Linked DNA regions of Arabidopsis thaliana. The protein of the gene in region 1 purifies or fractionates together with the protein of each later gene. This does not show direct contact. Each region holds a gene or a part of one and is shown in the gene's direction. Other genes may lie near its edges.

The links. The genes of interacting proteins can lie anywhere in the genome.
Region 2: the proteins of CPN20 (region 1) and NDPK1 fractionate together in Arabidopsis thaliana (co-fractionation; one large-scale study listed by BioGRID). This does not show direct contact.
Region 3: the proteins of CPN20 (region 1) and MS2 fractionate together in Arabidopsis thaliana (co-fractionation; one large-scale study listed by BioGRID). This does not show direct contact.

What each region holds. Positions count from the first base shown.
Region 1 is NC_003076.8:7,012,708-7,017,208, forward strand, and holds CPN20 (chaperonin 20), read left to right. Parts: upstream 1-1,961; 5' UTR 1,962-2,209; exon of another isoform or gene 2,210-2,302; 5' UTR 2,303-2,307; coding exon 2,308-2,481; intron 2,482-2,751; coding exon 2,752-2,931; intron 2,932-3,030; coding exon 3,031-3,186; intron 3,187-3,273; coding exon 3,274-3,351; intron 3,352-3,473; coding exon 3,474-3,647; 3' UTR 3,648-3,749; exon of another isoform or gene 3,750-3,958; 3' UTR 3,959-3,991; downstream 3,992-4,501. Other genes in the region: BGAL7 (beta-galactosidase 7), read left to right, coding at 1-186, 271-498, 584-795, 897-1,287; NPH4 (Transcriptional factor B3 family protein / auxin-responsive factor AUX/IAA-like protein), read right to left, coding at 3,997-4,177, 4,265-4,455. UniProt on the Arabidopsis thaliana protein: Seems to function only as a co-chaperone, along with CPN60, and in certain cases is essential for the discharge of biologically active proteins from CPN60. Required to activate the iron superoxide dismutases (FeSOD).
Region 2 is NC_003075.7:5,921,908-5,924,899, forward strand, and holds NDPK1 (nucleoside diphosphate kinase), read left to right. Parts: upstream 1-1,576; coding exon 1,577-1,627; intron 1,628-1,747; coding exon 1,748-1,796; intron 1,797-2,109; coding exon 2,110-2,459; downstream 2,460-2,992. UniProt on the Arabidopsis thaliana protein: Major role in the synthesis of nucleoside triphosphates other than ATP. The ATP gamma phosphate is transferred to the NDP beta phosphate via a ping-pong mechanism, using a phosphorylated active-site intermediate.
Region 3 is NC_003074.8:955,228-961,565, forward strand, and holds MS2 (methionine synthase 2), read left to right. Parts: upstream 1-1,634; 5' UTR 1,635-1,908; exon of another isoform or gene 1,909-2,062; intron 2,063-2,350; 5' UTR 2,351-2,374; coding exon 2,375-2,724; intron 2,725-2,824; coding exon 2,825-2,912; intron 2,913-3,009; coding exon 3,010-3,137; intron 3,138-3,232; coding exon 3,233-3,624; intron 3,625-3,729; coding exon 3,730-3,893; intron 3,894-3,979; coding exon 3,980-4,060; intron 4,061-4,167; coding exon 4,168-4,334; intron 4,335-4,427; coding exon 4,428-4,533; intron 4,534-4,615; coding exon 4,616-5,068; intron 5,069-5,144; coding exon 5,145-5,513; 3' UTR 5,514-5,805; downstream 5,806-6,338. UniProt on the Arabidopsis thaliana protein: Catalyzes the transfer of a methyl group from 5-methyltetrahydrofolate to homocysteine resulting in methionine formation.

The sequences.
Region 1 (4,501 bases):
AGCCGAAACATGACGTTACGGGTTCACAGCAATGCCCATGTTCTACACGCTTACGTCAATGGAAAATACGTCGGTAACCAATTCGTAAAGGACGGGAAATTTGATTACAGATTTGAGAGGAAGGTCAATCATCTCGTTCATGGGACTAATCACATTTCACTTCTCAGCGTTTCCGTTGGACTACAGGTAAGATGTGAAACTATAGTTTTTATATAAATTTCTTTCTCCAAAATTTGTTGTGACAACTAAAGTTGTGGTCATATGTTATAGAATTATGGACCTTTCTTTGAGAGCGGACCAACTGGAATCAATGGTCCTGTGTCCTTAGTCGGATACAAAGGAGAGGAAACAATCGAGAAGGATCTCTCGCAGCATCAATGGGACTACAAGATTGGTTTGAATGGATACAACGACAAACTTTTCAGCATAAAATCTGTTGGTCACCAAAAATGGGCAAACGAAAAGCTACCTACTGGTCGGATGTTGACATGGTACAAGGTCAGTATTAATTAAAACCTTCTACAAAAAAATTATTTGTTTTTGCAAATGAACGGTTTCTTACAATGAAATGTTATATCTTCAGGCAAAGTTCAAGGCTCCTCTTGGTAAGGAGCCAGTGATTGTGGACTTAAATGGTCTCGGGAAAGGTGAGGCTTGGATCAACGGTCAGAGCATTGGTCGTTACTGGCCGAGCTTTAACTCTAGCGATGATGGTTGCAAAGACGAATGTGACTACCGTGGGGCGTATGGTAGCGACAAATGCGCTTTTATGTGCGGCAAACCAACTCAAAGATGGTAACTAAACTACTAATGGTTCCTTCATTACATCACATAACTTTGACTTATAATTATTAACGTTTCATTATTCTGAATCTCTGATGGCCGAACTCTTGTAGGTACCATGTTCCACGATCGTTCTTGAATGCGAGCGGACATAACACTATCACACTATTCGAAGAAATGGGCGGTAACCCGTCAATGGTGAACTTCAAGACAGTAGTGGTTGGAACAGTTTGTGCCAGGGCTCATGAACACAACAAAGTGGAGTTGTCCTGCCATAACCGGCCGATTTCAGCCGTTAAATTTGCAAGCTTTGGAAATCCGTTGGGGCATTGTGGGTCATTCGCGGTTGGTACGTGCCAAGGAGACAAGGATGCTGCGAAGACCGTGGCTAAAGAGTGTGTTGGCAAACTCAACTGCACTGTCAATGTGTCTTCCGACACGTTTGGTTCTACTTTGGACTGTGGAGATTCACCTAAAAAATTGGCCGTGGAATTGGAGTGCTAGATTAGATCTTAGCTCTAGCTAGCTAGTGATTGCAATAATTTCCATCAAATAATGTCGTACTTGTTTTTGATCTATCAGGTTTTTTAGATGATTTGGATTTAGGATTGTGGAATAAATATTATGATCGAATAAAAGTTTCTCTTGTTTAAATATTTTATCTTGAGATGGTTTTTGTTCTGACCTTTATATTATTAAGCAACGACACTACAATTTGTTTTCTCTGTTGTGTTAAGAAATAAGTTTCACAGTTTTCTCTTTAACAATAGCCACAATTTTGTTTATGTCAACATTAACCACATTTTATAGTATCTGTCGTGCTCTTAGCTAAGGCGAAGCATACTTCAAAAGATTAAATTACTTTCTCATTACACATAATATTTATGATTTTAAAAGTATTATCAGCATTCTCCTCATATAGTACTAAAATTCTTTTTTAATTTGGATAGTGTAATATTTTTGTGATTACCAAATAATAGATGTTTTAGCATGATTCATAACAAGAAAAACATCTCAGAATGATTTACTAATCTATAAATTTCAGAAAGTGTGGCAAGAGGGTTAGGTAACGACCCGACCCGACCGCCCGGATCGGACCCGTTTAAGACAAAAAAGACCCACCCGGTTAGAGCGTTCTAGAACACTTGGGCAATAAAAAGAGAGGAGTCATGTGTTTTAGTCTATCTAACTCTCTCTCTACTGCAATTTTTAGGGTTTTATCCTCCGAAAGTCTCAACCTTTTTCTTATCCTCAACAAGGTATCATCACTCACTCTCTTCTCTTTAGCTACCCACTCCCTCTCTCTTCACTGTCTATTCGTATTATAGAAATCCTTTACAACGAGAATTGAATACAAAGGTTTGAACTTTGGGCGGATAAAGTAATCTAGTTCGCTCAATAGTGGTTGGGTTTTACTCTTATTTTGGTGAATCTGGGAGAAATCTTCATTTTTGCCCATTTGTTTATCTGTCTCTCTCAGTTTCATACTAATTGAGAGTTTGTGTGTTTTGACGGATAGGAGAAATGGCGGCGACTCAACTTACAGCGTCACCAGTGACTATGTCAGCAAGGAGCTTAGCCTCGCTGGATGGTCTCAGAGCTTCGAGTGTCAAGTTTTCATCTTTGAAACCAGGGACCCTTAGACAGAGCCAGTTCCGTCGTTTGGTTGTCAAAGCTGCTTCTGTTGTTGCCCCTAAGGTACTTTTCTCAATTCTTTGTTGTTTGGTTACTTGTTCTGGATGATAACTTATCTGAATCTTGGATTGTTGTTTTGTTGTTTTGGCCATTCGTTTGTGTTATACAATCCAATCCGCTAAATGATGTCTAAAGAAACTAAGCTTTAGATGCTTCTAGCTTCTCTTTTGCAAGCTTGGTTTGTATCTTAATGGCGCCTTGTGAGACATTTTGAGAAGTCCCTTCTCTTCTAGTTAATAATTTTCTCTGTTTATTGTGTATGGTTATTTACAGTATACTTCAATTAAGCCATTGGGAGATCGAGTTTTGGTGAAGATCAAGGAGGCAGAGGAGAAGACTTTAGGTGGTATCTTACTTCCATCCACTGCTCAATCAAAACCTCAAGGAGGTGAAGTCGTTGCCGTGGGTGAAGGAAGAACTATTGGGAAGAACAAAATTGATATCACTGTCCCTGTAACAACCTCACTACCCTTCAAGCCCTCTTTCTTTGTTTGCTTTGTTGTTTGCTAATAAATGTATATCTGATATGCCTCCATCTTTTTCCTGATGCAGACTGGAGCACAAATTATCTACTCCAAATACGCAGGAACTGAGGTGGAGTTCAATGATGTGAAGCATCTTATCCTCAAGGAAGATGATATTGTTGGCATTCTTGAGACAGAGGACATCAAAGATCTCAAACCTTTGAATGACCGAGTCTTTATTAAGGTTCGTCCCTTCTGTTTTACCTTAGTCATCTTATTATTGACTCTGCATGCAAATGTTAACTTCTGTTTTGAAATGTCTTGAGTTTAGGTTGCTGAGGCGGAGGAGAAAACAGCTGGAGGGTTGTTGTTAACCGAGACTACCAAAGAGAAGCCTTCTATTGGCACGGTAAGTGCTCACTTGATATCATGTCCATTCGGGGAATCTGATACTTTCTTAGTAGCTTGATGTGATAGTCAGTTCATACACAAGTTCCAATTATACATATTCTCCTCTTCATTTTATGGCAGGTGATAGCAGTTGGACCGGGTTCCCTAGACGAGGAAGGTAAAATTACGCCTCTACCAGTATCAACCGGAAGCACAGTACTTTACTCCAAGTATGCTGGTAACGACTTCAAGGGCAAAGATGGTTCCAACTACATTGCCCTCAGAGCTTCAGATGTGATGGCTATACTTTCTTAGTTATGTTATATCTTTGTAATCTGCAACTTGTATCCCAATTGTGGAAATTTTTTCCGTAAACGGCCTGAGCATAATCTGGAATAAAGACTTGAGTTTGAAAATGTGATTTTATTGCTGATTTCATGTTTTTCCTTCTCTTTTTGGTTACAAGCGGTTTCAGTTGATCAGTTAAACTTGGTAGAAACAGTGACTCACAGCAAATAAAATCTCCGTGTAAACTTAGTGGAAGATATTTTACAGGTAAATGCTCTACAGTGCCCAGTGGAAACTTGAGACATGTTATCAACGAGAAGTTATATTACAAAACGAAGAAAAAAGAATCTTTGTCTGTGAGAGAACTCTTCTGCCATCACCGGTTAAACGAAGTGGCTGAGTTATCATCATAATGACCTCTCCAAGCATTGCCACTGTCACCGCCACTACAAGCTTGATTAGTAACTGGTACACCGGCAAAGTTCCCGTCTAAGCTCATCTGCTGAACCTCAGCTGATGAAAGGATCTTAATGCTCTGAACACAGTTTACGAATTCTCTGCAAAAATCACGATTTTAAAGGTTAGCAAAAAAATAATGGAACTTCTAACAGTCTGATGTGTGAATGTAATTGCTCTCTACTTACTCCCATGGATCATCGCCGACGAGGAGGATGTCATTTTCATGATCGACATAAACAAGTTTCCAGTCAGATGTTTGAGGATCTTCGAGCTGTCCTTCGATCCCAAACATGCGCGCTAGATCATGCCTCAGCTCATCGTAACCTCTGTAACGGTTGACGTCTATTGATCTCCCCACTGAGCCTCGTTTTTGCACCTGTAGGAAAATTTAACATTTGTCAAACCGAAAACATAACCCAAAT
Region 2 (2,992 bases), on another chromosome or scaffold:
TCAATTTTTGAAGTAATTGGCTACATCGAATAATTTATGTACTTATATATAGTTTCTATATCAATTCATATACTTGATATATATATTATAAAAAATAAAATCCTTAAAACTACAATTTTTGTTTAGAAAATGTGTTGTGTATATCTTCAACATGAGAGAATGCATCAAAGTGGTGTGATCAAACTCTTTTAATCCAAATCTAACAAATATATTAGGGTTTTGTGCCAACAACCCTCAAAAATATTTTTTTTTGCAACATAACCTTTCATATTAAATACATGTAGGTCAATACTCTGATATCAAAAGTCACCCACAGTATAACCACGTGCATAGATTTTATATAATCTTTGGGCGTGCTTAGATTTTGCAAACCGTATAAGTATGTATATAAGTTATTAAACTACGTCGTTTGAGCATCTTTTCGGAAAATAATACATTACTAGAGTGGATTGGAACCAATAACCTATAATACTAAATAATGCACTTAACCAATTGTGCTGCAAGATTTATTGTTGATATTGCATACCGATAAATATATATTGTGAACATTGCATTCTGGGTTTCTTCATCTTCTTAGGAAATTAGGTTTATTAGCAATCCGAAATCTCTATTCACGTGAACTAGTTTGTTTATCACCACTGATTTCATTATCTTTGGCCATCATCAACAATTTGTAGAGCAAGCAAGGGCTCATTCTCATCGCAATTAATCTATTCTTCATCGAGGAAAGCTCTGAGACGAGGCGTGGGTGGAAGAATTGAGCGTGTTCAGACTTGGGTTTGATCCGATCGTAACCGCTCGCGCTGTTTGTCAAGTTTTATGTTTACAATTCTGAAATAATGTTATTGTTGTATTCGATTCATGTTTAAACTATATATATTAATCGGTTTGTAAAGTTAACAAAATCACTCTGCTCAATTGGTTAAGTAATCTTTGAATAGTTCAATATGCCATGCGTTCAAATCTATTTTCCAACATTATTTTGCGTTTTTGTTTAAAGGCTCAAAACAACGTAGTTTTAATAACCTATATATAAACATACGGTTTGCAAAATCTATACACGTCTAAGAGATATACTATAGGTGACTTTTGAGATCGCAGACCTGCATTTATTTAACTTACATGATTGAGTTACAAAAAAAATTACTTAGAGAATTTTTTGGCACAAAATCCAATTTTTATAACTAATTGAACCTTAAAATAATAATAAGTAAAAGCCGTTTTTTTTGTTAAAAGAAGGCTCAAAACGACGTAATTTTAATAATCATGTACAGATTTATATGATTTGCAAAATCTATACACGTGCAAGAGTTATATTGCGAACGACTTTTAATATCACAGTATTAATCTACGTTTGTTTGACATAAATAATTAAGTTGCAAAAAAATATTATTTGTGTTTTTTTTATGAAGCCCAATATTTTATTTAATTGGGCCTAACATAATAATAAGGGAAGCCCAATAATTTGTAGCAAATATTCTAGGGTTAGAATATTCTTCAACAGAATTAGGGTTACATGTGCGGACTCTATATAAATCTTTTTTGCCTCCTACGAATCACAAGTAATAAGAAAACAATGGAGCAAACTTTTATTATGATCAAGCCTGACGGCGTCCAGAGAGGACTCGTAAGCTTCCCTTTTCTCTTAATACATACTTGTTGATCTTGATCTGATTTTGGTTTTGTATTCAGTTCTTTGGATTGTTTATACTTAAAAGATCGATATGTTTGTGTTTTTTTCTTTCAGATCGGTGAAGTCATCTGCAGGTTTGAGAAGAAGGGTTTCACTTTGAAAGGTAATGATTTCGATTACCAAACTTGATTTTACATTATAATTAGAGGTCTTAGATCTAATTAAAGTCACTTTGTTACTTGAATTGAGATTGTAATGACACTATAGTTGCTTATGGTTTGGTCTAGTTTCTGAACACTAATAGTTTAGTAAAACTTGTTTGACTTGACAAGTATTCTGTGTTGTCTAATAGATTTTAGATTATAGTATCTGTGCATAAGAACTTGTTATTATCTGGACCTTTTGTATTATGTAATTTGGTAGATAAGAGTGTTAGTCTTGTGTTTCTGATCAGTGTAGATTTGTATTTTATACAGGTCTGAAGTTGATCAGTGTAGAGAGATCTTTTGCTGAGAAGCACTACGAAGACTTATCTTCAAAGTCTTTCTTCAGTGGACTCGTTGACTACATTGTATCCGGCCCTGTTGTTGCTATGATCTGGGAAGGAAAGAATGTTGTCTTGACCGGAAGAAAGATCATTGGAGCTACCAACCCAGCAGCTTCTGAGCCTGGAACTATCCGTGGGGACTTTGCTATTGACATTGGCAGGAACGTGATCCATGGTAGTGACTCTGTCGAGAGTGCAAGAAAGGAGATTGCTTTGTGGTTCCCTGATGGACCTGTCAACTGGCAGAGCAGCGTTCACCCTTGGGTCTATGAAACTTGATGATCTGTTGCTTTTTCAGTAGTGTGTTTTCGACATTGCTTGTCTTTTGAACAAGACTTCTATATTTAAGTTGAGTTTGATTATCCTTCTCTACTTTGCTTGCTTGCTACATATGAATACAACAGCTACCAACTGGTGATATAAAATATATCAGTTATTGCAGATACTGAACCAAAATTGACTCTTACCAATGGTTAGATCAAACCTATTTAGTAAACACAAGATCATACTTCTTGTAACCTTGTGTTTCATGAACACATAATGTTGTCAATCTCTTAGATGCTCTCGAAAACTGCGACGTTCGACAAAGTGGCAAGCTTAAGTTGTCTAGTAAGCCATTGTCCAAGTTTGAGGCTGACACCAACTTGAAGGGGGCATACTAGGAGAGAGTGATAAGAAAAGTTTTGAGTATTTGTCTACTGAATTTCAAGCTTACTGATGAACATTGGCAAGCTAAATTTAAATAACTAAATTTTACAATTTTGGTTCTTCAAACTTTAGAGAAGAAAAGAATCCAACGGTCAGGTTCAACT
Region 3 (6,338 bases), on another chromosome or scaffold:
CTAGATTAGATATGTTTTGTTATTTGTTCCTGCTCTTGAGAAACCTTAGGAAAACAAAAAATTTGGGAGGTTTTGGGTGGTGAAGAAAAGTTTCTTCTTTTATTATATTTTGGAAATATGGATATATGATGATAAGAGATATCAATCTATGAATTTTTTATTTTCCTTAATTAGTAAAAAATTTCGATCTATGGATATCAGTATATCGTCTATGAATTTTTTATTTTCCTTATGATAAGAGATATCAATCTATGGATATATGAATTCTTTTAGTTTCCTTATATATTGAATATCATATTCTCTTTTCAAAGTATGGAAACTTTATCGTCTCTTGCATGTGATCTCGCCGTTAAAACTTATAGTATATTCTGTAGGATTGATGATATGTAAACGTGTTTATTCATTTAACTTTCTTACAAAAAAAATTGAAAGTAAATTAGGTATGTAATGTGTAATGCGATATTTCAAGACGCACAAGTATATATTAGTCGGAACATTTTGTCAAATTCTTTTACTTTGGGAATACCGAATACGCATGATACATTAGGCATTAGCGAGAAATAAGAAAAAAAAAATGTCTCATTAAATGGTCGTGCGTTTTTATATCTATATCCCACCGACAGCCGACAAAACCATAGCAAGGCATCTACTGATCTACTAATGCTTCGGAATAGACCGATGTTGGATATTGTGAGGAAATATAAAATTTACCGGATACAAATATTTCTGTGTTTTGTTTTGAAATTTGAAGTTACTTGTTAAGCGTCTTGATGGATTAAAGTTTTTTGAGTCGAAAAACAAAAGAACGGACTTTCTCATGTGAAAGCATTAAAAAAAAGAGTTCTTGCTACAAAACAAGTTACAAGAGATGGTAGAAATACACTTCTTTATTCGAAACATAGAATTTTCGTATTAGTCGTCCAAACAGAGCATTGAATATTCTTTACTGAACTAGTTTACCATTTCATACTAGACTTCTTTACATACATTATAGACGTATATTCCTCATTAAGGTGAATATTATGACAACTTATGGTTAATAGGTTTCAAACGTCATTGTTGAATAAAAAAAATTATGTGAAGATCAAACCATAAGAGGGACGTGGAGGATCTCATAATCATTCACCAACTTTGTTTACCAAACAAATCTCCAAATTTGTGTGGCAAGAATTGTTGGTACTGACTCCCAAAAATGAAATTAAAAGTGAATATCTCACCAACTCCCTAATGGGCTCCACCCACCAATCCCGCTACCTCCTTCTCCTCATGTATACTCTTCACAAACAACACACACCAACTCTCCTCCCCACCTTCACATTTTCAATTCCATAATTAATCCCCTCTTAAGCTCTTATATCTTAATTAATACTACGCTTTACAATACAACATACACTAACCCCTTAATTAACCCTTAAACAATTGTTTTAAGCTTTAACTAGCCAGTGAGGACTTGACAAAAGTCAACTAAAATTACCAGTAAACTAGTACTAATTCAACGGAATTAAGTTCTACCAGCTTATATAATTGTAATGTCATGCCATGATCAAATACATTTTTTTATTATGTAAACCGTCGTTATACGTATAATTCTCGAAAGTTGTATATAATTGACCGTGCCCTTAAATTTGAAAGATAAAAATTAGTATCATTCTGGATACATGGATTACACGTATTTTTATTTATCATATAGTATAATGTTGTAGAGAGGGTAAAAACCTAAATATACGTATTTTGATGTACATGTACGTATTATTAATTTAAATAGAAAAATAATCAGCCACCACGAGTGAGTGAGAGAAACCAAGGAACGATGTGTAATTGATTTGCTATAAATAAGCTTAACACAGAACACTCTCCATCGTCGCTCTCTTTGCCCATCTCTCATCTCCACTCTTCTCATTCCGTAAGGTACGCTTCCGAGTTTCCATGGCTTCCGCATGACTATTCTTGCTCTCTCCCTTCCCACTCTCTTATTTACCTTCCGTCTCTTCGTTTTCTTCTCAATTCAATTTTCGTTTGATTCCGTTTCTTCTTCGTTCGTTAATACTTAGATCTTAATCCGGTGAGTGAAATTCTATGAAACACAGATCTGGATTTTTTATACGATCAGATTCGTAAAATCTCTGTTTTGCGATCTTTCTCTGCGTTAGATCTCTGTTTTCCCTAGTTGTGATTCGTTTTGATCTTTAAACTCTCTCATACTCTGTTTTCAATAAATACGACAAAAAAAACTGCAAAAGTTTTTTACTTTTTTAACGATTGGTGGCTTTTACCATATGACAAGAAGTACATTTTAGGATTGTGTTTGGTTTACTGACTGATTTTGGTTTTGTTTGTGGTTCAAATGTAGTAAAAAAACAAAAAACAAACAAAAATGGCTTCCCACATTGTTGGATATCCACGTATGGGACCTAAGAGAGAGCTCAAGTTTGCATTGGAGTCTTTCTGGGATGGCAAGAGCAGTGCCGATGATTTGCAGAAGGTGTCTGCTGATCTCAGGTCTGATATCTGGAAACAGATGTCTGCTGCTGGGATTAAGTATATCCCAAGCAACACCTTTTCTCATTATGACCAGGTGCTTGACACCACCGCCATGCTTGGTGCTGTTCCATCTAGATATGGATTTACCAGTGGTGAGATCGGTCTCGATGTTTACTTCTCCATGGCTAGAGGAAATGCCTCTGTTCCAGCTATGGAGATGACCAAGTGGTTTGACACCAACTAGTGAGTTTCTTCTCTACTCTTTAACTTGTGTGTTGACATTGTTATTGGATTTGTGAGTTGTGTTATTAACGTATTTTTTTAATGTTTCTGTTTGATGCAGCCATTACATCGTCCCAGAGTTGGGCCCTGAAGTGAAATTTTCTTACGCATCTCACAAGGCTGTCAATGAGTACAAGGAGGCCAAGGCTGTACGTACTCAACTAATTTTCCTATTTGAACATATATAGGCTTCTTTTGGTCTGGTATTGAATGTTCTAATATAGTAATGTGGTGTTGTTAATGCAGCTTGGTGTTGAGACCGTCCCTGTACTTGTTGGCCCTGTCTCTTACTTGCTTCTTTCCAAGCTTGCTAAGGGTGTTGACAAGTCATTTGATCTTCTCTCCCTTCTCCCCAAAATCCTCCCAGTTTACAAGTAAGAGATTACTTTTGCTCTAGTACTCAATTATTCTCTTTGACGCTAGGAAATTTGTTTCTGACATACTATTGGAATGGTGAATCTTTTCTCAGGGAAGTCATTGCAGAGCTTAAGGCAGCTGGTGCCTCCTGGATTCAGCTTGATGAGCCTCTCTTTGTCATGGATCTCGAGGGTCACAAACTCCAGGCTTTTAGCGGTGCCTATGCTGAGCTTGAATCAACTCTCTCTGGTCTGAATGTTCTTGTGGAGACCTACTTCGCTGATATCCCTGCTGAAGCATACAAGACCCTTACTTCCTTGAAGGGTGTGACTGCCTTCGGATTTGATTTGGTTCGTGGCACCAAGACCATTGACTTGATCAAGTCAGGTTTCCCACAGGGCAAGTACCTCTTTGCTGGTGTTGTTGACGGAAGGAACATCTGGGCCAATGACCTCGCTGCCTCTCTCATCACCTTGCAGTCACTTGAGGGTGTTGTTGGTAAAGGTATTATATTCTTCCAGAATCTCTTATGTGGATTACTCAATTAGAAGTGTTTAATTTGTTATCTTTCTCTAACTCGTTGGTTTTGTTATTTGTGAATTGGTGCAGACAAGCTTGTGGTCTCAACCTCTTGCTCTCTTCTCCACACTGCCGTTGACCTTATTAACGAGACTAAGCTTGATGCTGAAATCAAGTCGTGGCTAGCTTTTGCTGCCCAGAAGGTTGTTGAAGTTGACGCATTGGCCAAGGCTTTGGCCGGTCAGACAAATGAGGTATTGTAAAAATCCTACAAACATGTTTCCCAAGTGAACCCTTTGTTTGAAAAAGACTTCAAGTCTCTAATATTTCTCTCTTTCAGAGTTTCTTCACTGCCAACGCTGACGCATTGTCTTCGAGGAGGTCTTCCCCAAGAGTCACCAATGAGTCTGTCCAGAAGGCTGTAAGTTCTTGCTTTCATACTCAAGCTTTCTTTACTATTATGATGGTTTTCTCTGTATGATATATGTTTCTATTGATCCTAATGATTTGTAATTCCTGCAATCTCAGGCTGCTGCTTTGAAGGGATCTGACCACCGCCGTACAACTGAAGTTAGCGCAAGGCTAGATGCTCAGCAGAAGAAGCTTAACCTTCCAATCCTCCCAACCACAACCATTGGATCCTTCCCACAGACCGTGGAACTCAGGAGAGTTCGCCGTGAATACAAGGCCAAGAAGTTAGTCTCTTAATCATAATTTTTTTGCATTGATCATTTAAGCATGTTTAGTAAGTTGATTGTGATGCTAACTGGAACTCTTTCTTCTACTAGAATCTCTGAAGAGGATTACGTCAAGGCCATCAAGGAAGAGATCAAGAAAGTTGTTGACATCCAAGAGGACCTTGACATTGATGTTCTTGTTCACGGAGAGCCTGAGGTCAGTCTTTGTCTCTTACTAGACCCTAAAACTAATTACAACGTCCTGTTTCTGACTCAGCCATGCTTTGACAATATTATAGAGAAACGACATGGTTGAGTACTTTGGAGAGCAATTGTCAGGTTTCGCATTCACAGCAAACGGATGGGTGCAATCCTATGGATCTCGCTGTGTGAAGCCACCAGTTATCTATGGTGACGTGAGCCGCCCCAAGCCAATGACAGTCTTCTGGTCCTCAACAGCTCAGAGCATGACCAAACGTCCAATGAAGGGTATGCTTACAGGTCCAGTCACAATTCTCAACTGGTCTTTTGTCAGAAACGACCAGCCCAGGCACGAAACCTGTTACCAGATCGCTTTGGCCATCAAAGATGAAGTGGAAGACCTCGAGAAAGGCGGTATTGGAGTCATTCAGATCGATGAAGCCGCACTTAGAGAAGGATTGCCTCTTAGGAAAGCCGAACACTCTTTCTACTTGGACTGGGCTGTTCACTCTTTCAGAATCACCAACTGTGGCGTCCAAGACAGCACTCAGGTAACAACACTGTACACTTAAAATCTCAAATAGTGATGAATGTTTCTGCAACTAACTTCTTTATTTTATCTTCTAGATTCACACTCACATGTGTTACTCAAACTTCAACGACATCATCCACTCAATCATTGACATGGACGCTGATGTCATCACCATTGAGAACTCTCGTTCAGACGAGAAGCTTCTCTCAGTGTTCCGTGAAGGAGTGAAGTACGGTGCAGGAATCGGTCCTGGTGTTTACGACATTCACTCTCCGAGAATACCATCCACAGATGAAATTGCAGACAGGATCAACAAGATGCTTGCGGTTCTTGAGCAGAACATCTTGTGGGTTAACCCTGACTGTGGTCTGAAGACAAGGAAGTACACTGAGGTTAAACCAGCACTTAAAGCCATGGTTGACGCGGCTAAGCTTATCCGCTCCCAGCTCGGTAGTGCCAAGTGAAGAGCTTGAAGATATTATTTCTATATTCCGGGATTTTTCTACGTGGTTTGTGTTTGTTCAGTTTCAATAACTTTTCTTCCAAGAAAAATATTTTAGCCAAAGTTAGGTTTTGAGGGAATGGAGTCACACTCTCTCGCTTTCGTTGAAGAGAGTTTACGGCTTTATACTATATGTTTCTCTTGTTGCAATGTTATATGTATCTTTGTTTTCTCTAATGAAATATATGCTTCTTTGATCTCTTGAAAGTGTGGATACGAATTAATTTGTTATACAAGCCCCCAAAATGTGAAATCTTAAAATCACTACTAGTGTTGTAGAACTAAAGAATTTGCTGAAAATAATCCATTATTGTTATAAGATCATCCACCATACTACAAAAAGATTTGATTTGATACCATGAAAAAGGACACAGTTTCGAACCTTTGGAATGCTCGATTCGTGCATGTAAAGATCACTTGACGTGGTATACCAGAGAACCAAAAGTAGTACTATATTTTCATGTCTTGTTAACCATTTCTTTTGCATGGTGTAAGCATTTCTTTTCAAAGTACCAAAAGTGCGGTATTTCATTTTATGTGGAATTTCTTTTCCAGAAATTTATAAACTTTATCACCGAACGCAAGTTACACAATAACACTGCAAAAGTGAACCCAAAAAAAAAAACCCTGTAAAAGTAAAAATTTGCTTAAACTTAACATTCTTTCACCGCTCCGTGACGTGGACATTTGGCTGGCAAAGAAAAGGCATAACATCCAATCAAAGATATCCACGTAGTCCGATTTATGTCACGAGAGCTGACGCGTCACATTATGCATTTTTTTTTTT